7 separate regions of the Mus musculus genome follow, and regions 2, 3, 4, 5, 6 and 7 are each reported to be linked to region 1. Evidence: microRNA targets listed by miRTarBase, many of them from high-throughput screens and not tested one by one. Region 1 holds a microRNA gene; each other region holds the end of a gene's coding sequence.
The links. The annotated mature microRNA mmu-miR-9-5p reads UCUUUGGUUAUCUAGCUGUAUGA and lies in region 1 at 2,160-2,182, opposite strand. An mRNA with a match to its seed (bases 2 to 7 or 8) in the 3' UTR can be bound and repressed. Matches are read on the target gene's strand: a 7mer-m8 pairs with bases 2 to 8, a 7mer-A1 pairs with bases 2 to 7 and ends in A, and an 8mer does both.

Region 1 (3,095 bases):
GCTGAGTACCGTACACATACACAGTCAGTGTGCATCTAAAGAAGACATGAACCCTTAGCAGCCTAACCTCCTAGCCTCTATTCCTCCTTTTCCTAAAGCCTTCTACTCTCTTTTGAAGAGCCTGTGATCCAATGTGCTCATGGGAAACAATAATATAAAACTACTGTGGTTAGCAACTGAGACTCTAAGTGTTCCTGGGAATATGTGGTGTGTGTGTGTGTGTGTGTGTGTGTGTGTGTGTGTGTGTGTGTGTGTGTTTAGGGGGACTCTAGGATGCCCAAGAACTTGCTGTGTAGACAAGGATGACTTTGAATTCTTGATCCTTCGTCCTCTACTTTGCAACTGCTCAGATTATAGGCCTGTGCTATGATAGAGGGCTGTGTAGCCCTGGCTGTCCTGGAATTTACAGTGAAGACACTATACAGGAAACATTAAAGATGGTAATGATAAGGAAGCTTATTTTATTGATGCCCCTCCTCTGCCCATGCAAATTCCCAATAACAGAGAGGCTTCCCTTCTTTCTACTTTCCCAGTTGGCTCCCTTGGGGTGGGGAGTGTCACTTTCTCCAAGACAGAGTAAATGGAAGGAGCTTTGAGTGTCAAGCCAGTGAGTAATGTCAGCTGCTCACTTGTGCCTGTGTAACATGGGATCACATGGCATCTCTCAAGCAGCGGAAAAAGAAAACAGGCTGTGGCCAGACCATTAGTTCCAGCCTAGACCCAGCCTCTTTTCTCCTTGACTTAAGCTTCATCCCCACCACCCCTACCAAAACAAAACAAATTCCAAGCTTCTGGAATTTAAGAGGCCACTCGACTCTCCCTCCCCTAACTGCTAAAGAAGACACACACAGGCAATAGATTCCCTGAAGTCCCAGAATTTGAATTTGGATTCTCTAATATTTCCCCCCATGTAATACAAAATTGAATCATTATCTTCTAACTGTAAAATCAGGTCCCGGGAGGAAATTTTAAATTTATAAGAACCAGCGGAGTCTGGGTGATGACATTTTGCCCAGTTTTCTGCCTCTTATTAGTCGGTACAGCCCAGGTCTCCAAGTGCCAGCTGGTCAAGTTCGGCTGAGGGCCATGAGAGCAGAGGGGATTCCTAGCTCTGGCCATGTTTGTTAGACCATCTTCTCAGCTGTAGAAACCCTCTTTCACTAAAATATTTAGGTCAGGCAAGATAAATAGATTCTTTTTACAGGAGCCCAAATTAATCTCTCTAATTCTTTGCGTTCTCTGGGCAGCACAGCTACACATTCCTTTGTGTTTGAGCTCCACAGAGCTCCTTGAGGCCATTTGTTCCTTTGGGACACGATTTCCAAGAGTGAGGTTAGGACCGAAAGGTGGGATGCTCTAAAGCCCCCCACCCCAACTCTACACCTTTAGCCACTAATGACAAAGCAGCCAGAGAGAGTTCAGTTAGACTTAGCTCTGGTCCTGAAGGCCAAAGTGAAAGCAAAGAACCTGCGCCCCAGGGTCCCAGAATTCCTGTGGGGTAAAAAGGTCTCTGGCCACTCTGGCCCTTGCCCTTGTGGTTACTTTGTTTCTGCATCGCCATTCTCCCTAATAAGTTCGATGTGTGTGTTGGTTTTTAAGCCTTCCCCGCTCCTAGACCTGTTCCCACCTGGGCAATCTTGACTCCCAGTAAAGCTGAAGGGCTTCAGGGAAACCACCAAAGCAAAAACCAGCTTTCTAGAGACATCCTACGAACCTCGAACTCCACCAGTCGCTTCGAAGAGCCAGAGGGAAGCTGCTCACACCAGCCACCCGCTCCCGGGATGCGTCGAGACCGGGAGAGGGATGCTTGCACTTTCCCCCCAACCCTTCAGCCAAGGGCTCTGTCTCTCCCGGGAGCGGCTTCTCCGGACTGAGGCCCAGACTGCTCCATTTTGACCAGGCCTCCAGAGGCGACCCCAGAGCGGCTTCTTGCTTTCTTCCCAGGTGAGCAGGTTGCGGGTGGGGATCGCGAGGTGGCTCGGGCTGAGCAACCTTTGAAGGCGACGAGTCCCCCTCCCCCCAGCCCTCCAGCCTCCAGGCACGCCTGGCACGGCTCTCCCTCCTGCAGCTCGGCCACTACCAGCGTTCCAGGCCCTCTGCGCAGTGTATGGGGTTATTTTTACTTTCGGTTATCTAGCTTTATGAAGACTCCACACCACTCATACAGCTAGATAACCAAAGATAACAACCAACCCCGCCTCCTGGCCGCCTCCTCCTCTTCCACGCAGCCTCCCGGCCACCGCCTGGACCTCCGTAGTCTCGAGTCGCTCGACGGCGGATGGGGGACGCGCGTGGTGTGGAGGCGAAAAGATGGGATCCAGGACCTCACGCACTATCACGACGAGACCTCAGAAAGGCGAGGAAAAGATGCTACCGCCGACGGTTCTGAGGTCGGGAATCTAGGCTGAAACCAAGCGGCCCCAAGCCTGACCGCCCATTTCCCACTCCCTCCTCCGTGCAGAAGCAGGGTTCCGCCGGTGCTAGTGGAAAGGCTCCAGGGCCTTCGTGCCATCCGGGAAGACCGCAGAAGCCTAGGCCGAGGCCTCCCCAACCTCCCACGGTGTCCACACCCTTCTCTGGAAGGTCGAGTGTGAGCTCCGCGGGGTGCGGCAGAGCCGAGCTCGCAGAGCTGCTCCGAGCTACCGACTGCAGGGGAGCGGCCGCGAAGCCCCGGACGGGAACCCCAGCACTGGGGAACCCCGAGGCCCAGAGGGAAGCCTGTGGCTGGCGGCGGGGTGGAGGGTGATCTAGAGACTCCCCAGCGACTCTCCCAAGGGCAAAGACCCCACCCAGAGAGAATCGGGCGAGCAGTCAGGACGTGGGGCTGCGGGTTAGGGCAAAGGGTGACCAGGCAGGTGCTCCGAGCCCTGGACCTACGGAACCGCGCGGGAGCCGGTTTTGTGCAAAACGCAGCCGAAATCATTCAGAGATGTGAAATATGCCACTGGGGGTCTGAGTGAGAGATGCCCTTAGTGGCTGGAGGGGGCTATCTGGACTGAACCCACTGGAAGGAGGTCCAGGGACCGTGCAGAGGGTGTAGAGCTCCGTGGTCGCAGGTGGCGGACGCGCGCGCTGGACTCTGAGGCGCTTTCCCC
Region 2 (3,095 bases), not on the chromosome of region 1:
CCGTTGGGAGATTCCGCCCCGTGCTGAAGCTGACGGAGGATGAAGAGGGGAACCCTCAACTGCAGCAGCACCAGCTTATAACGGTCACAATGTCAAGTGACAGCCGAGTGGTTGATGATGAACTAGCTACCAGGTTTCTTGAAACTTTCAAAGCAAACCTAGAGAATCCCATGCGACTTGGGTAGCCTTCAGAGACCAGGCGCTTGATTGGGTGTTCAGTATGGAGTAGATGAAGTGCGTATTTATTTAAGGCGAAAGCTTTGACCTGAGCTGTCTTCCTCTCCCCTGTACATGTACTGTAGAAATGTGTGATGACAAACGGACTAATAAAGAACATTTGGTTGGTCAGATCCACTTTTAACCTCTGGTGCTGTACAGAAGGCATTAAACTAATGTAAACTACATCCTATGTTTGGTTCATTTGAAATTTTGGAATAATTGTGAATGTATGATATTGTAAAATTAAAAAAATATATAGAACTGTCCCTTAATCATATTGACGTTATAACTGGGCTTCAAAGAGATGTCTGTCTATATTGGGGCCTCTCATTTTTTATAAGCTCTTGATATACTTGAACAATTTAATATGTACAGTTAGTTTGCTCTGGATTAGTATATAAGTACATTTTATTAGGGGTTGTGACAACATTATTAAACTTTTGTGTATATAAAGCCAGGTGTCTTAGCTAGATATATTTCCAGTCTTTTAACTTTGACACTGTGAAGCTCTAAGGATACAATAGGAATGAAGACAGAGGAAGAAAAACTAAAGAGTCGTTTGTTCAGAGACCTGACCTTATAAAGTTGGGGGAGCAGCTGGGTTTGTACCTATAACCTCAGCCTTTGAGAGAGATTGAGAAAGGAGGCCCGCTTTGAGGCTAGCTGGGCTACGCGGTGAGGCCCTGTCTCACAGAGGCAGGGAGAGTGTTTTACTGGAAAAGCTGCAGTTGATCTCAAATTGAGCAGCGAGCTTTCATGCTCAGTTGGAATCTAATGAAATAAATTCTCTTAGCATACATTGTAAATTTGTATTGTTTTAAATACAGTATTGTTTGCTGAAGCATTGTAATCAAGTTTGTATTGTACAGTCAAATGTAAGAAAATAAAAAAATTCTAGTCTACTTTGATATGACATGCAAAATAGAAGAGTGGCAAACAAGCTCACCATGGTGGTTTGCGCCTATAATCTTAGTACTTGGAAGACTAAGGCAGGGTTCCCATGAGTTCAAGACTAGCCAGAGCTACAGAGTGAGATCCTGTTTCACAAGAGAGGAGACCTAGGAAGGAGAACAGATGGGAAGTAGTGCTCATCTACTCCATCAGCTGAGCCAAATTGTCCCTCATTATCAGTAACATTAGAACTGCTTCTTTCTGTTGGCAGCTCTGGCAAGATAACGATATTTAAATGAGATGGTAATGAATGGTAATTTAATTCACCAGTTGCAGAAAGTTTCTCCTTAGTGTCAGTTGACATAAATCACCAGAAAAAAGACTCCATGGTACAAGTTGTATTGAGTATGACATGATGAACTATAGCCCTAACAAAGGAGCCTTCAGAAATAATTAGTGCCCCAGTATATCTCTTGTTAAGAAAAATATTTAATTCAGTTATTCGGTTTTAACAAGCCATTTTAAAATGGACTCTTCAAACTTTTGTCAGATTAACTTAAAATTATTACCAAGCACCGTTTTCAAAATAGCTTTTACACTTGCACTACTTTCAAGTTCAGTGTGGCTGAAATGTTTTTAATACTGTGTGAGTGTGTGTTGTGTGGATGTGGATATAGACACATGTTCCCAGGTGTGTAAGGCAGAAAACAACCTTGGATTCTTGCTTTCCACCTTGTTTGATGTATGATCTCTTGCTCACTGCTGTGTACACCAGGCTAGCTCCTGGTAATTGTCTTGTCTCTGCCTCCATCTGCCTGTAAGAACAGGTAGGGTCATGGTGTCTGTCTTTCAGGGTGTTAGGTTTGCATGACGAGTGCTTTTACCCACTGAACCCTCTCCTCAGCCCCCTTTTCTAATTTTGACATCTGAGGACTTGAACATGAGACAGCCATAAGTAGCTCTTTGCTTGCGCTCTGTCTTCTGTGGGCCGGTATCACTAGCAATAATGCCTCCATTTCCTGTAGCTACAAAGGAGGTTGGTCCCCATCCAGCTTGGACAGAGGCACTGTTTATCTGAAGCCATTTATTTCAGTTCGTGGGCAACACAAACCTAGTTGCCTCCCTCTCATGGTTTCTGTGATAGTTAATAAGCAGTGTAGAAGCTTTCCCCGTTTGATCAAAAATAATTCCTCTAGCATCTCTAGCAATTAGATTCCTGTAAGCAAATTGTCATTTATGGAAATAATCCTATTGCAGCATGAGGTCAAGGAATGATCTTGATTTGAAGGAGTGTGGATACATGGTGTGAGCCATGTGTGCATCAGCAAGACTGTCCACCACCACACTCTGTTTATAACAGGCAAATATACTGAGACAAGGAAAACAACCTAAGCATGAATTATGAGGGAAAAGCATCATTCATCTTAGTGTTTAACCATTAGTCATGGAAGTATTAATGAACAGTTACCTCTGTTAGTCAGAATGGGCTGGTTTCTTTAACTACACTTCCTACTTAGTAGCTAAAAATGAGTTTGTCCACTATTTTCTGTCACATTAAAAATGTCTGGGTGCTGCTGACCAGACTTGAATGAAACATTGCCAAGTAATTTATAAATACTGTTAAGAGTGTTCACATAATATCGAATGGAACTTTTTCTTTTTCTTTTGTTTTTTACTTATTTGCACTCTGAACCTACCTTTACCAGTAATTGTTTAAGCAAAACATAAGTTCTGGAAAAGAAGCCTTGTTTCCCTACTTTGAAAGGTAGGTGGTGCTATGAGTTAATATATTGTCATCCAAATAGAGAAACTGCATGGCTTTCGGTCTCAGCTTTCAAAGACATTCTGTTCTCATGACAAGGTTGTGTCATGATGGACGCGGGCTCCCTTCGCAAAGTGAAGAAATGAACTTATGCAGATTAAAAATTACACTTGAAACAAGTGCTATGAATGGGAAGCACTGGATTTTTAGAAGGGAGTAACAA
Region 3 (3,095 bases), not on the chromosome of region 1:
AAAACATAAAGATAAGTAATGGCTTGTGATGTAGAGTGGCTACTAGCCAGGAGGAGAAGCCAGTTTGGTCCCCTAGGCCATTGCTCCACCATCCACATCCTGAAGAGGCAAAGCCGAATGAACAGAAACTCGGTGTTCTAAGTGTTTCTGTTGTGGTCTAGGGGGTCAGAACCTCTGAGCTAAGCCTCAAAAAGTCGCAAGGGTGATTGAACATAAAGTGGTTATTTGAGCACAGGAAATACGTGGTGAGACTGATCAGACCAGGAAACCAGGCCTAGTGAGATACAGACCGGTACAGTTCATCTGGTTAGCAGGCACTGATTCGCCTTGTACATTTCAGACTTACAACAAGAAAGGGGCCTCTCGGAGGAAAGACCACCTGAAGGGCCACCAGAACGGGTCTGTGGCCGCCGTCAACGGACACACCAACAGCTTCCCTTCCCTGGAAAACAGCGTGAAGCCCAGGAAGCAGCGAAAGGATTGACAAGCCGAGCCGAAGCCTCCAGACCGCGGCGTGTGATTGTAAGCACAGCGTGACTTGTGCCCTGACGCTCATAGCAGCTGCTGTCACTAGTCTGGCCCTACTATCTGCAGTGTGACTCATGTAGGACCTTCTTCATCAGTTCAAAACCCCTAGAATATGTATACAGATTATACAAAGTAGGCATACGATTTTCTCACATTTCTGGGCTCTCATCGACCCCCGCGCTAGACTGTGGAAAGGGAATGTTCTTGTAGTATACAACACTGCTGTTGCCTTATTAGTTGTAACACGATAGGTGCTGAATTGTGGTTCACAATTTAAAACACTGTAATCCAAACTTTTTTTTTTTAACTGTAGACCATGCATGTGATTGTAAATTTGTACAATGTTGTTAACAGTAGAAAAACACACATGCCTTAAGACTTAAAAAAGCAGGGCCCAGAGCTTGTTAGTTTAATTAGGGTATGTTTCAACTTTGTATTATTCATTTGTATTAGCTCTGTTTAGAAAAATCAAATGTATGATTTATGAAACAAGTGTGTGATGTGTAACTTCAAGTGACTTGGAGATGCGAAATCTGATGGCACCCTTGGTTTTATAACGATGGCTTTAAATAAGCAGGTTCAAGTCTAGTGGAACAGTCAGTTTAACTTTTTAACAGATCTTATTTTTTTATTTTGAGTGCCACTATTAATGTGTTTAAAGAGGTGGGGAAAGGGTCCAAAGCGTCTGGAGACACTTACGTACCTGTCCCTGGTCCCCCAGAGGCTAGGGTGACTATAAGAGTAGGTCACTTTTCACTTCTGAAGTGCTTAGTGTTTTTATACAGGAGATAAAAAGGCCATTCGACTTCCCACCACTTGGAGAGAGAGAACTACCTTTCAGGAAAGGTGACGAGACATTTATTATCTGACAGACACACACACACACACACACAGTGATAAGGGACTGGTTACCTGGGTCCACATTTTTTTTTATTCTTTTCTGTAGTGCTACTTTGACATACACTTCCTTTTAAAATGTGCCTAATTTACCAAGAGACCAGGAAGCACCATAAGCATTTTGAGGTAAAATTTAAGAGCTGGAGCGCGCAGGAACTGGGTGTTTGGGAGCAACCGCTTTTTTCAGTGTGAATCATGGTGGCATCTGTAATTTTTTTCTGATTAGCACCTAAAGATCGGTTTAAAGTGCTTGGACTGCTTATCCTAAAATCGTGTCTAGTGCGCTCGAGGCATCGGTCATACAAATGGGGACTCTTTTCATGTGTGTCATTTTTAAAGTGTTGAAAGCTTAGCCTTTGAATACCTTCTGCATTGGTAAAAAATCCATGGAACCACTCATGGCACATCTTAGGAGATGATTGACAATGTATAAACTAATTGTGGGTTTGATATTTATGTAAATACCAGTTTACCATGCTTTAATTTTGCACATTCATATTACAAGGAGCCAGTTGGTCCTAATTAGCCTTGTGGGTTTTCTGTTTGGAAGGAGTTGCGGCATCTGTTTACATTTCCCTTGTCAGATCTAGAATGTGTGTATGTGTGTGTCTTCTCCCTAGGTACCCGTCTGCAGGTGTCTTTACATATCTCAATACAAAAATTATAACATTTGATAGTGTGCTGTCAAAGTGTGCTTAGCTCATCTGGATATACCCACACTGTTAAATAATGTCTAAACATTAATCATTAAAACCTTTTTGATTACCCGTGCTGTGTCTTCTGTTGTTTGATGTGCTGACAGTTCTGAAAGACTGCAGGATGGTCAACTCTGTCACCTTGTAGGAGCTTAGGGAGTGGACATGAGTAATGTAGCGTGGAAAGTGGTTGTATCAGTTGGGGGCTCTCTAGAGAAACAGAACTCATAGAATGAGTGTGGGGGTGGGGGGAGGATTTATTAGAATGGCTTACAGGTTGTGGTCCAGCTAGTCCAACAAGGCTATCTACAGACAGAGGATCCAAGGATCCAGTAGCTGTTTAGTCCACGAGGCTAAATGTCTCAGCTGCTCTTCAGGAAACACGGGTTCCAGAGCAGTCGCGTCGAATGCCAGCGAAGGATTTGCTTGAGTGGACTCACTAGCAAGAGTGAGAACAAGCAGGCAAAGAGAAGAGGGCTTCCTTCTTCTCTGTCCTGTTTAGAGAGAGGCTGCCAGCAGCAGGTAGGGCCTGGATTAAAGGTGGGTTTCTACCTCAGAGATCCAGATCTCAAGTGGGTCTTCCCACTTCAGATGATTAAGGAACAAAATCCAGCACTGGCGTAGTCAGTTTGAGTTGTAGTCAGTTCTGCATGTGGTCAAGCTGGCAACCAAGAATTGCTATCACCTCCCATGGCAGAGGACCCCAGAGCATAAATCTCAGTGTCTTCCAACAACCCTAGCTCCTCCCCTGCACCCCTGCTAGAGGGTTCACCTCTGAGCACGCTCCTGCATCCTCCTTTCCTTCCTGGCATCCCATGCTCTTCCCTCATCTGCAGACTGTTAGAGTAACTTCTCGTTGTAGGCAGTAGGTCTGCACATTTTTCTGTGAAGAGCAAGAGAGGGAGCACTCCAGTTTCCGTGGAAGCTACTCATCTGAGCCATTGTAGAGTACAAAACAGCCACAGGCACGAAGGT
Region 4 (3,095 bases), not on the chromosome of region 1:
CCCTTAAGATAGGAAAAGAACTCAGGGTAGGGTTGGGAAGATGAAATATGTGGGTAAAAGGCTCGGTATCGCAAACCTGTTTGATACCCAGAACCCACAAAAAGAAATGCAGATAACCAACTCCACAAAGTTGTCCTCTGATCTATGCATGAGTGTCGTGACATGTACTCATCACTACCCACTACCACACTTATATGCACTAATAATTTTTTAAAAGATTAATTTAATGTGTATGAGTACACCGTTGCTGTCTTCAGACACACCAGAAGAGGGCATCGGATCCCATTACAGATGGTTGTGAGCAATTGTGTGGCTGCTGTGAACTGAACTAACCCTAACTCTAGAAGAGCAGCCAGTGCTCTTATACCACTGAGCCATCTCTCTAGTCCAATAATAAGTTTTAACACATGACCTTTGAGTTTAACTTTTCCCAGCTGTAAGTCTATAACTCACAAAGATAGTTTCTTTGTTGACAGTCAAAACTTAAACCTTAACTCCCTTGTAACGTGATATATTAAGAACTGTTTGAATCCTTGTTATCTACAGAATCACTCTGTGATCTGAAAATAGGGGTGGGGGTGGAGTATTACTGAACAATCCTCTTAAAAGGCCACCCAAATCATAAACATGGCTATTTTTAGGATACTTGACCCAATTATTGTGAAATTCTTTTCTGAGGCCTAATCCTGTTGTGGGAAATATTAAAAAGAACGGCAAGTTCCCGAAAGGGGTGTTCTTATCTCAGCAGACTCCACCTGACTCGCCAAGTTCTCTTGGGGGGTTGTTGCCACACCAGCCCATGCAATGACCACCTACCTCCAGTTAGCTGTCACAATTCCTAGTAACACAGTAAAATCAAAACTCTAGAAGCTTATAATTAGTCAGATTTATATATCAATAAATTCTCAATTCACAAGATACCCACACAATAATTTCAGAGTCAATCGATGATACAAGCTGCCCACCTAGATTAGACAAGTTATCCCAATTATTCTATCCCTATACTACAGCTACCTGTGGCTATTTAAAGCCACGCAGAATCTGAATTGTCCTGTTTGTCCTCCATTTTCTTCCTCCTCTTCTCCTCTGTGGCTCCCTATCTCTACAACTCTGTCCAATCACAGGCTTCTTATTGTATTAATAATTAAATTAATTGGACAGGGAAAATCCTGCTACATAATCAAAATACCAGCTTTGCTGAGAAAAGTTTACTGAACGAACTGAGATTGACGCAGGCAGAAGCATGGGGCTTTATCTTCCCTTCCTATACTGTACCATCTTCTACTCCCACCAGCAAGGTGAGAATGTCCTAACCCTCACCAACAGTAAACATCCTCATTCTTCCACACACCTCTGCCATCCAGTACAAGAACTGAGGCCAGAGCTTGGCATATACAAGTGCTTTAATACTCAATACACCTCATTCAAAGAAGACTTCGTGGCTCTACTTTGTAACGGAGTTATTTAAAGGAGATAAGCAACAAAGTTCCAAAGGCTTGAAAGCAACCAGAGATCAAAAATTTCAAAGTCAGCTTTGGTTTATGAATTATTCATCTATATCACTATTTAAGGATTTTGAAAACATCAGATACTCATGGGAGGAATCTGTTATTTTAGATTTCCTTACTAGCTACATTTCTTATCATGTGTAGAACTGTCCAGTTACACAGAACAGACCAGGACTTCCCACATACAAATATGTCCACCTTACAGAGCAATACCATTAGTGGTTTCAACAAATATGCAACTTTTCTGTTACTCTTGTTTGTTAGAGGAATTCGTGCTTGTGAGCTCTCTGAGATACTCTCAGACACTCTCATCTGAAGTTGGTCCATATATAAGCTCATTCTTCACATAGCCTTAATATGTAACTTTTCTAAATTTATTGAGGTTAAAATAGATTTTTGGATGGGGTTCAAATGGGGCACAAGCTCTACTGTAGACCTTTCTCCAAATCAGGTAATAGAAAATGGTTTTGGTTACTTTTTAAAATTCCTATCAAAATCATCCAGAAAGTCCAACTCACAGAATAGTTTTGTTTAGTTATTAATCATACAAGATGAATCGAGTAATTCCAGACTTTTAAAGTGATTTTTCAGTATCTTTATAAGTATTTTTCATAATTTCTCTAGAAAGAAAAAAAGGGCTAGAGATATAGCTCAGTTGGTAGAATGCTTATCTAGCATGCATGAGGCTTAGAGTTTAATCCCCAGAACTGCATAAAATGAAAATAGTTCACATGCCTATAACCCTAACACTTTTCCAACAAGAGGCAAAAAGATTAGAAGGTTCAAGGTTATCATTGGTGGTCATGGCACACACTTTTAACCCCAGCACTCTGGAGGCAGAGGAAGGTGGATCACTGAGTTCAAGGTTGACTTGTCTACATAACAAGGACAGCAAGGACTACACAGAGAAAACCTGTCTTGAAAAACTAAATAATAATAATAATTTTTATTTTTACTGACTATAAACCAAGTTCCTAGTTTGAATGGTAAGGAACAGGACCTGAACCCAAGTGAGCATCCTTATGTGTATCTCCCAAGGACCTGACGGCCCCTATACATCAAGGACTTTATCTGTTAACTTGCAGATGAGTTATATTTCACCCTGATCCTTCACCACAGAAAAGTCAGCTTACTATCATATAGCAAAGACCTTCAGTACACACAAAATTCATGCTTGCAGCTGGGCAAGTCCTGCCCTTAATCCCTCCAGCGATGTCCACACTGAGCATTGCAGCACTTATAGAAGGTGGTCATTGGCTCGTCTGCAGAACGCGTCTGAAGCTGCATGAAGTAGGCACGGGGATGTTCGCATTTTGGACATGGCTCTGACAAACAGAAAAGCAAGTTATCCACATTACAAAAACATTAAGTGTGGGTAAACATCTCATCTCCATGCTCAGCTAGACTCCCTTATGGTCTCCCTTACTCCAGCTAATGGTGAGTTTGCCAATAGCAACATCCTTCCCACAGCACATCAATAATAAGGAGACTAGAGAGACCTTGTTTTATAAAAGCAACAAAAGCCTTGAAATTTGAAAATGAGTAGATGTTTAAAGGTTTTTTTTTTGAAACCCCCTCCCCTTCTAT
Region 5 (3,095 bases), not on the chromosome of region 1:
TCAGTAAATAAAAGGTAAACTACATTTTTACTCCAAAATGCGTTATCTCAAACTACCATACCAAGATGTTTTACGAGAAACATAAAAACACTAATATTCTTAGAGGAGGTATTAGAAGCTGCTGCCGGGTAAAATAGGTTTAGCGGCATCGATACATTGTCACTACTCCAGAAGCTCTGGGAGTTTCTCCTGGGTTTTGGTCTTGCAGTGATTCATGAAACTGTTACTCTTGTGTGCTTGTGTCTTAATGTCCAGGTAAAGAAGATACCCCCTCACTTCTTGGCCTCTGTGGGTCCCTGACATCAGTGGCAAGTTACAAGTCCCTAACAAGCCTAAAATCCAACGACTGCCTTGCAAGCCCCACCACGGAGCTAACCAGCCCAGGCCTGACTCCATCCTGAAAGACTACGTAAAAACCCAAAGTTTCTGCATTGTAAATATCCTGTTTACATAAGTTTGGCTGCTGGGAGATTTTGAAATTTTATATTCTGGTACATGCGTAACATTTTGTTGTTTGGAGATTTTAGTCCAGCCCATGTAAATTTCTGAGGGAAAAGCATAGTAGTCCCCTATTTTTCTTTTTAAAATATTACATTTGTCACTGAGGATGTTTAAAGTTGATTAGGCTTTAAAAATCTTTCAAAGAGTGTCTGAATTCATTATAAATTGTACATAGTTGTTATTCAGCTGAATTTTTATATTTGTTTAAATGCGTCTTGGTGTCCAGAGACCAGGTCCAGGTTTTACTCCAGAGACTTAAGCTTAGCAGTTTCTTTCGCTCCTTTATTTGGTGGTTAAATTTGCACAAAAGGCAACTAATTCCATGAAGTACTTCCTGCACTCTGATGTCTGTGTACCATGCTGTAAGGGGAAGTCTCCAGCCACAACTACACAGTGGCTCGTTAAGCTTTCCTTTTACCAGTTGGTACCAACTTTTAGCATTTCATAAAGTTTGTAGAATTGTGCCTTTTTAGGCGGTTGCTGACTTAATTTGTCAGGTATGGAGGAAAAGCATCTTTTCCCAGGTATGCCTAAGACATTGGAAACATTTCAAACTTCAGAACTAATGTTGGCAAGGGGTTACTAACCTCAGAAGTTTCCAGTTTAATGAATGACTTGATAATGATTTTTAAAGAGCTGCAGAGTAACCAGGATGTCTGACTGTGGATATACATTGGAGCTACAATGCTATTTTCCCTGTGTGCAACAATGACTTACATACTGGGTGTTTCATAGCCATTACCACTATGCCATGATTTCTCATTTTTCAAATTGATCTTAGTGTTTAAAAAAAAACAAAACTATACTTCTGTAGGAAAACAGGTTTTTTAAAAAGAGCTGTGTTTCAATTTTTTTTTTTACAATTTTTAAAACAGCTACATGTGTCCCTAAAAATTCCACCCTATTGAAAATAAACACGTATGAAGTGTGTATTCTATAGTGAGTCCTAGGAGGAAAACAAGTGTGCCAAAGACATTTCCTATACTGTTTCATGAAGGGGCCACAGTGCTCACTCTTGTCTGTTGATTTTTATATTTAAACTTAGCAGCTGTGACAAGTAGGAAGTGCATCCCTCCTAAAGCTTCCTGGGGAGTGCTGAACTCACAGGTTCACTCCTTCTATCCAAAGTGTAGGGGTGGGAGGTTCTGGGAAGTGCTTGGAGCGCAGTCTCATGGTGTGGAATCAATCAATAGTAACATGACCAGTGTCACATGTGAGGCAGTGCAGACACTAATCTCTGGGGCAAAGGAGGCCTGCAAGCTCATGACAGACATTGCATCGGGTGACTCAGAACAAACTGAGCAATTTCTTCCTGAGGCTGATGCATTAAAACAGAGCACCTCCATCTTCTCTGATCTGTGTGCACCATATTAAGTGTACAGTGGCCAAAGCCACGTTTAAGTAGTGTCAGGAATAGCAAATAAAGACAGCAGGCCTGCAGCAGGCTGCATGAGGACTTAGATGGTCATGAGAACATTGGGAATTTAGGCTGGCCGTGGGCGCACCTCTACTTTCCTAAGAAAGTCAAAGTGTTTACTGCTTTATCACCACGGCCTGCTCTCACCTGTCATTTATGATTTTTCAGATATAAAACCTTGGTAAGATCTTTTCATACATTTTTATAAAGTAGAAGGGAATACAAGATTCCCCAGTTGGTACACTTTTTCAGATCTGTCCGATAGAAGCACTAGTTTGTGACATATCCCTGCTGCGAACTGCGGACTGAGACATGACACCTGAGGATCATGGCTTTCCCTCCATTATTGGAGCTCTTGATATAAAGTTCATCTGCTACTGTGGAACCCAAGTTTCTGCAGTTGGTTTCGAGCTACAGGCAGTTTGTAACGCTTGCATGAGTGAACAGTGTCTCAGTCTTTAATTTTCAGTGGTACTGTTTATTTTTCAGAACTCCACAAAGAATGCTGGCTATGTCTATCTTTCCATCTGTATTTTGTTGCCTCGATGTACTATATTTGTTGCATGTATATTAAAGATTTTTTTAACCATACAGTACTGGTCTTTTTCCTTGACAAATATAGTTACCTGGTTCAAGTGTTTACTGAACTTCCATTTCAGCACATAGAATAAATATTGAGGACTAATTAAATCCAACACACTAATGGATATGATTGGAGAAAACCCTTCTGTTGAGATTGAATATTATACATACTTTTAAAATATTCCTTATATAGCACATGACATTTTGAGAGTTACTGACTACATATAGGACAATGGTCCCAAGTAACTGAGAGAAGTTGAAAAATTCCTATCCCTTAGTGACATCACAACTCTCTAATATAAAACTGACAGAAATTCTGATATATTCTGAATTTCTTATAATTCAAGAACCAAAGAGTAGAGGGAAAGATAAAGTCCAGTCAACTCGTAGTTTACAGGCAAAACCCGGACACGGTTATAGTCATGGCCTGGAAATATGTTAACATGTTGCCATCATGTGGCCATATGATGTAATTAAAATTTGTAGTAAAGAATATAAGGCACTGAGTATAAAACAGATGTCTCCTATATTCCTTTATTCATTTTTTTGAACCTCTCCAGGAGCACCAGGACTGATGTATAACGGACTTGGGGAT
Region 6 (3,000 bases), not on the chromosome of region 1:
AGGATGCGAGGTGGGTGTGGTGGTACCCAGGGTCTCAGGAACAACTTTCCAATTCCCCTTCCCAACTCTGAATCCGTACCTTTGTGTATATGATTTCCTTCCTCCAAAGATGGTAATCTTTGGACAGATTATTTGTTTTGGCTTTTTGAGACATAGTTTTTCTGTGTAGCCCTGGCTGTCCTAAACTCATTCTTGTAGTCCAGGGTGGACTTGAACTCAGAGATCTGCCTGTCTCTGCCTGCCCAAGTGATGGGATTAAAGGCGTGCGCTATCTCCTCCTGGCGCACTTTGAGATTTAAGATTAGAGGTGCTCCTGATTCTCCACTGGGCAGCAGCTCCTGGCTTTGGCTCTCACACTGCTCTTTGAGCCTCTAGCTGTCTTGATTCTGTTTGCATACCATCTAACACACAGACAGCTGAGGACAAGGCCAACCAGCTTACCTAAATATCCTTGCAAAATCACACAGCTCAGTGCAGATAGTCAAGAGAGCAGGGAGGTGGGCCTCCTCCTATAGCATTTCTTTCTCAACTCTGAAGGCATTTCCAAGAGTCTGGAATCAGTTCTGTCCCTGGGCCCTAGACCCACAGGAGGTGGTTCAAGTCCTCCAGAACTTCGGCGTACAAGAGCTATGCCGCAAAGACTCCCAGACCTACCTCCACGCCCACCAGACCTGCCTCCACGCCCACCTATTATCTGCAACTCTTCTCAGCCCACCCAGCCCCACAAAGCCCGGCCCAAAAGAGAATCCTCACATAATCACCGCACTGGAGCACCTGGAGCCAGCAAAGCCACTGTCCCCTCTGGAGGTCCCTTGTCAGACCCCGAGTGGCAGAGGAAGGTTGTAGAGGTGAGGGCTCACTGAAATGACTTTATGTTCAAAGGGCCTGTAGGTTGACACAAGGGCTAAACAAAGATTTGTCCTCCGCAGGTAGAGCTGAGTGTGCATGGTGTCACCTACCAGGAGTGCCAAGTGGCACTCAGAACCACTGGGGGAGATGTGGCTTCTGCTATCCGGAACCTCAAGGTAACGCTAACCCCTTCTGCAGGTTCCCCAGTCGCCTGTTTGGCCCACTAGTGGTCAGCTGTCCTACCTCCTGCTCACACAGGTAGACCAGCTCTTCCACCTTAGTAACCGGTCCCGAGCAGACTGTCGTCGCATCCTGGAGCATCACCAGTGGGACCTGTCAGCAGCCAGTCGCTACATCCTAGCCCGGTCCTGAACTCTGTATCCTCAGGGATGGACACCAGCATGGGTTACCTGGTCCACTTAGGGCTTGGCCTTACGGACTAATCAGAACATGAGGTCTTGACGGAGGCACGCTGAGGGAGATTTACCTGCTGTGAGGAGTGACAGGAAGTGTATAGGGCACTCAGGTACTGGCTAATGCTTCCTCCGAGCCCTGCTCCTTGGCCTCTGAAGGGACCAAGACCAAGTCCACTCTGCCTACTATATTCCCAATTGAACAGGACTTGAAAGAAAAAGCTTTGGAGGAGGCCTCTACTCACTACAGACAAGGATCAAGTAGCAATACCGGATCACTGACCAACCGTCGGAACTGTCATTAGCTACTTCCCTAAACTCTATGGGGCACCCAACTTAGATATTGACTTGGGAGCTGCTCTGGTTTGGTCCAGAATCACTATGGGTGATGAAAACTAACTTTTTGGACTCAAGGACTTTTTTCCTTTAATCCAAATAGTGTAGATTATACAGGCTGGCTGACGCCGCTCCCTTTGTGTTATCCGGTATCTACCCTCTCCCATCACATCCGGCTTCTACTGTTTAAAAAGTTTCAAAGTTTATATGAGTACAACATACAAAGACACAGCCTCCTTCCTACAGTAGGGGAAGGAAGGGGTTAACGGTTAAATAAGGCACAGGAAGCTGCAGAAAGCACCCGCAGGGCCCAGGGGCTTAGGGAGTTGGCACTGGGGCCCAACCGCTACAGCTATTAGTGAGGAGGCAAGGATCCCCTCAGAGTGCCACAATCGGAAGCTAAACTAATTGGCTAAAGTGCCATAAGGGAAGGGTGGTGTCTGCCATCTTTGGTACTGCTTGCCTTTTACCCACAAGCCCTGGGGTAAAACTTGAGTCCAGGATTCCAGATGCCCCTGCCTATGCAGAGGCCCCAGAGGAAGGCTGGAAGGAGTGTGCAAGGAAGTTTAAAAGCTAATGTGTGCACAGGCACTGCCTGGAGATGGTGAACAGAAGGAGGAACAGGTCTCATACATGCTCTTCTGCAGGGCCACAGGAGAAGCAGGGAAGGGATGGGACACAACGGCTCCCAACCACTCGGCCACCCTCGTCGGTCCGCCGCAGTGTATATCAAGGAAAGGGTTGCTTCAGGAGGGAACGTCCAGGGCAGCTGACCATCTTAAATTCTGGTCAAGGAGATGGGTCTCCTCATCCTGAGGTGGCTTCTAACTGGTGATGGCAGAGGGTCCTGCGCCTCCTCTCTTCTCGAAGAACATATAATCCTAAGGAAAGGTCACCGTCAATGGGAGATCTGGCTGGGTCTGTGTCGATCAGCTCTTAACTTAGCTCTGAACCTGCAACCCACCATACGTGTCCCTGACCTAGTAAGGGTCCAGGGAACTGAACAGAGCGTCTAATAACAGGAAGGGAAGGGCAGGGGAAGCTAACTCACGATGAGGAACGTGGCTCCCAGCAGTACGGCCTTCACTTTCACATCTAGATCGACTGGGAATTGGAGGCCAAAGTCATCGGCATCTGTGAGGGCTTCTCGGAGCAGCCCTCCCCACTGCTTGCTGATGCGGCCCACACTTCGCGATTCATCCTTAGTCTTCACCTGGCGGGAGGGAAGAAGGACCCGACTGGGGAAGATGCTGACAGTCTCACTTGCCTCCTGTCTCACTCTATAGGTACATGCATGAGTTGTGTAGACTGCTCAGGAACTCTTCGCAATAGCGTTGGGTTTCTATATGACAGCAGAAGGGAAACTGAGATACCCTAGGTTACATAAGCACACAGTGAGGAT
Region 7 (3,095 bases), not on the chromosome of region 1:
CATATCTAAGGATGGCCAGCTGGAGTACTGTCAGTCAGTATGATGGGAGATGGAGTCTAACCATTTGTTCCTGTGTGTTGAACCTGTTTAAACTAAAGTCAGCGTTTTTGTCTCAACAGAAGCTGGACCACCACCACCCTTGTTTCCTGCCCCTTTGCCATCACAGTCGCTGCTCTGGGCCTTTTAGGGTGTCTTAAATCCACAGGTGGCTCTATGTATTTTATTATATGATTTATTTTGGCTTCCCAATGTGAACATCTGTTCTTTCCCTTCCACCCTCTCCAGATGTCCCCTAGCTGTGCTGACCTCTGCACTGTGTAGTGTTGCCATCTGGTGGATTGTGTGTGACTACATTCTTCCCACCCTGCTGTTCTGTCTTGATGGCTTCAGAACACAGTAGCCATCTGGACCCTTTGACAGATAGTTTGCTGTGTAAGTTTCCTGTTCCGTTTCTCTCCTACCCTCCCCCCCACCCCCCTGTGTCCTGTGTGGTTCCTATGGTGTATGTGTTTCTCCTTCTGGCTCTCCTAGCTTTGTTGTTTTGCTTGTTTTCCAGGGCTCTCTTTCCGAATCTCTTCAATGAATGGGATGGTACCAGCAGGGGAGGGCCTCAAGGAGCCTTCTGAGTCAAGGATGTTAAAAATAACACCTAGTTTTGAAAAGTTGTACTAGCTATTCATAAATGTGGACATTGGAATAGTTTTCTCACCTGTCAAAAAACCAGGTAGTTGAGCCAACCAGCCTGGTTTCGTGTCCACCAGGGGGCTGTATTCACCTCTCGTGTTCAATGCCTGGAATGTGTCTTCAGTCAAGTGTGTCTCTCACCATTTCTGCTTTTAGCAAAGATTGGGCTTTGTTGCCTTAGAGGCTAGTGAGGATGGTGGCCCAATCTCTTCAGGTCACCTGTCTTGAGTCTATAGAACTGTCCATTCTTTCATCACATCTTCTTTGTGTTAAGTGAGAAAAGGAGAGGGGTAGCTGGCTGTCTCCCTTGCTTGTGTTTCTATAGTCTCTGGACTCTTCCTTCTCTTCCCCAAAATAGGCAGACCATCTTTGTTAGATTCTGTACACAAGTGTAATCTCCTGACATGTCATTCTCTCAAGGGAGACACTTGTCAGCAGAAAGCAGCAGAAAACCTCTGTGTGTAACATCACAGCCCAGGAACACAGAGGGAGACATGTGCCACACCACCACCATCCTCTATCTGTTTTCTGAGACCCTTCTTCATCATTTCATTCCAAAAATTTACTTTTCTTGTACCAGCTTGGACTTAGAGATTGCCAAAGCATTCAGAATTCCCTTCTAGGATCTCCTCCAAGTGAAAATCTGTCACAGCCAACCCTTGCCCTTTGAGGTTCTGTTGAGAGTTTCATGTAGCTAAGAAAGATTTAAAAAGGAATCAAGAGTCCACTAAAGAAAACTTGCTGAATAAATACTTATTTACAGTGGTGTTTCCTTGTATATCTTAGATGAGTTTATAATCTCACATTTCACTTTTTTTTTTTGCCCCCTCTATCTATTGAAGAACAATGATACCTTTTATAGTTAGTTCTTCCCAAACTATTCTAAGTGGCCAAGATGTTCTGAATGGGTAGGTGGAGTTGCTGCTAATAATATTTGTCTTCAGGCCCAGCTTAAATGTTGCTTTAAATGTTACTTCTACTGGCGAGCTCCTCAGAGTCCTCTGCAAGAGCGTTAGATTAGTCCTGTAGCTTATGTCACCACTACGTTTCCAGACCAAAACAGGGTGTTCCGTTTAGCCTGCCTACTGACTTGAATTAAAAGCTTTCTGTGACTGAGGTAGGTAACAGTGTGGTCTTCATAGCCACTCGCTCTTGGTGTGAGACTCTTCCCAAGAGGCTTAATTTGTGGGTAACAGTTCACTGCTCTGTGGTGACTGGCCCTGCTGTGAGCTGGTAGGTGAGCTTTGCCTTGTAGTGAGTTCCATCAGCTGGTGGCCTCGAGCCTAAGACCAGAAAGCATTTTATGTTCTCTATCTACTGCACACAGTGGGGGACAGTGCTATTAGAGAATGGTTCAGGGGCTTGTGGGGCATCCTACAGAAAGCTCTGTGGCAGTGATCCTCTAGAAAGCCATCTATGCATTTTGAGGCTTGGCAGGTCACTCCTGGTCCGTAAGACTGTTTTTCTAACTTTGCTGTGCATCTCGTCATTGTCAGTGTCTAAAATCTGCAGCTGCTGCGGCTTTAGAAATACCACAGACAGGGCAGCAGTCTATGGTTTGGGCACAGGGTCAGGAGGATGAAGGCAAACTTGGTTGGGGAAGAGAGAGAGAAAAGAAAAATGTATATTTTGTGTATTGATAGGAAGAACCATGTGAGCAGGGCAGGTGGCCCTCTCGTTCTGTCTGAGCAGCTCTGGGGCTTTCTCACTTTATTTAATGGATTAAGTGTTTGCTCAGGCCAGATAACCTAAGGCCTCCCCGGTGTGGTTAATACGTACTAAATTTCCTTCTGAGTTTTAAAGCTCCACAGAAATTAGTAACCACTAATATCATTATTTCACATTTGTTTACAACTGTTTCTTAGAAAAATAAATCAAGCAGTAGTAGATCTTTGTTTTGTGTAGCATTTAAGCATTTCAGTAATTTAAGAGATCAGGAGTAGGTTTCCTGAGCAGGCATTAGAGTGTGTGTGTGTGTGTGTGTGTGTGTGTGTGTGTTTTAAAAGTTACCAAGCGTTTGCCCTCAGATGGTCTGAGATGGGGGAGTGGTGGGCGTTACAGAAGAAGCCACTCATTTTTCTCCCTTGTAAAGAAGCAGCAGAGGGAAATGAAGTACACACACTGCCAGAAGCCTGGAGAAATCAGCAGGTGGATTTGGTTGCCTTAAAGCAACATTCTAGATTCATGTCCTTATGAGATAAATATTTCCCCTGTGATTGTATTAACAGAAATTGTAACAGTTGGATAAGAGAAGTAGCATTAATACTCTGTATAGCCCAGTACAGGGTAACCCTGATCAACAACTAACAGAATTTTTTAAGGAGAGGGTCTTGGAGGTTCCCAACATGAGGTATGATGTATAAGGCTATGGCTGAGCCAGCCAGTCCTCTTATTGTTAACACATTATGTCC

Region 2: miRTarBase lists Pdhx as a target of mmu-miR-9-5p. The part of its 3' UTR that is shown has no 7-base or 8-base seed match.
Region 3: miRTarBase lists Elovl5 as a target of mmu-miR-9-5p. The part of its 3' UTR that is shown has no 7-base or 8-base seed match.
Region 4: miRTarBase lists Polr3k as a target of mmu-miR-9-5p. Seed matches in the 3' UTR shown: 7mer-m8 at 1,533-1,539.
Region 5: miRTarBase lists Rundc3b as a target of mmu-miR-9-5p. Seed matches in the 3' UTR shown: 7mer-A1 at 1,468-1,474.
Region 6: the mRNA of Plscr3 is a reported target of mmu-miR-9-5p. Seed matches in the 3' UTR shown: 8mer at 2,045-2,052.
Region 7: miRTarBase lists Cdc14b as a target of mmu-miR-9-5p. The part of its 3' UTR that is shown has no 7-base or 8-base seed match.

Annotation. Positions count from the first base shown.
Region 1 is chr3:88,214,700-88,217,794 of GRCm38, reverse strand. It overlaps Mir9-1 (microRNA 9-1), which reads right to left and starts at 2,197; the gene lies at 2,109-2,197. All of the region lies in intron 2 of Gm3764 (predicted gene 3764), which reads right to left. It overlaps Mir3093 (microRNA 3093), which reads right to left and starts at 2,624; the gene lies at 2,538-2,624. Gm25641 (predicted gene, 25641) reads left to right here and starts at 2,125; the gene lies at 2,125-2,182.
Region 2 is chr2:103,019,101-103,022,195 of GRCm38, reverse strand. It overlaps Pdhx (pyruvate dehydrogenase complex, component X), which reads left to right. Exons shown (of 11, transcript NM_175094.5): 11 at 1-1,141. The coding sequence ends at 185. Among named protein-coding and RNA genes, the nearest start is that of Pdhx, 53 kb to the left of the region's middle.
Region 3 is chr9:77,982,325-77,985,419 of GRCm38, forward strand. Elovl5 (ELOVL family member 5, elongation of long chain fatty acids (yeast)) reads left to right here. Exons shown (of 8, transcript NM_134255.3): 8 at 341-2,195. The coding sequence ends at 484. Among named protein-coding and RNA genes, the nearest start is that of Gm34829, 4.0 kb to the right of the region's middle.
Region 4 is chr2:181,867,942-181,871,036 of GRCm38, reverse strand. Polr3k (polymerase (RNA) III (DNA directed) polypeptide K) reads right to left here. Exons shown (of 3, transcript NM_025901.3): 3 at 207-2,833. The coding sequence ends at 2,706. Among named protein-coding and RNA genes, the nearest start is that of Polr3k, 5.1 kb to the right of the region's middle.
Region 5 is chr5:8,489,750-8,492,844 of GRCm38, reverse strand. Rundc3b (RUN domain containing 3B) reads left to right here. Exons shown (of 11, transcript NM_001347311.1): 11 at 256-2,509. The coding sequence ends at 401. Among named protein-coding and RNA genes, the nearest start is that of Slc25a40, 68 kb to the right of the region's middle.
Region 6 is chr11:69,849,823-69,852,822 of GRCm38, reverse strand. It overlaps Plscr3 (phospholipid scramblase 3), which reads right to left. Exons shown (of 8, transcript NM_023564.4): 7 at 2,650-2,811; 8 at 765-2,479. The coding sequence ends at 2,423. Tnk1 (tyrosine kinase, non-receptor, 1) reads left to right here. Exons shown (of 14, transcript NM_031880.3): 11 at 1-10; 12 at 538-848; 13 at 930-1,025; 14 at 1,108-2,260. The coding sequence ends at 1,221. Among named protein-coding and RNA genes, the nearest start is that of Plscr3, 4.7 kb to the right of the region's middle.
Region 7 is chr13:64,202,608-64,205,702 of GRCm38, reverse strand. It overlaps Cdc14b (CDC14 cell division cycle 14B), which reads left to right. Exons shown (of 14, transcript NM_172587.3): 13 at 286-432. The coding sequence ends at 400. Among named protein-coding and RNA genes, the nearest start is that of Habp4, 42 kb to the right of the region's middle.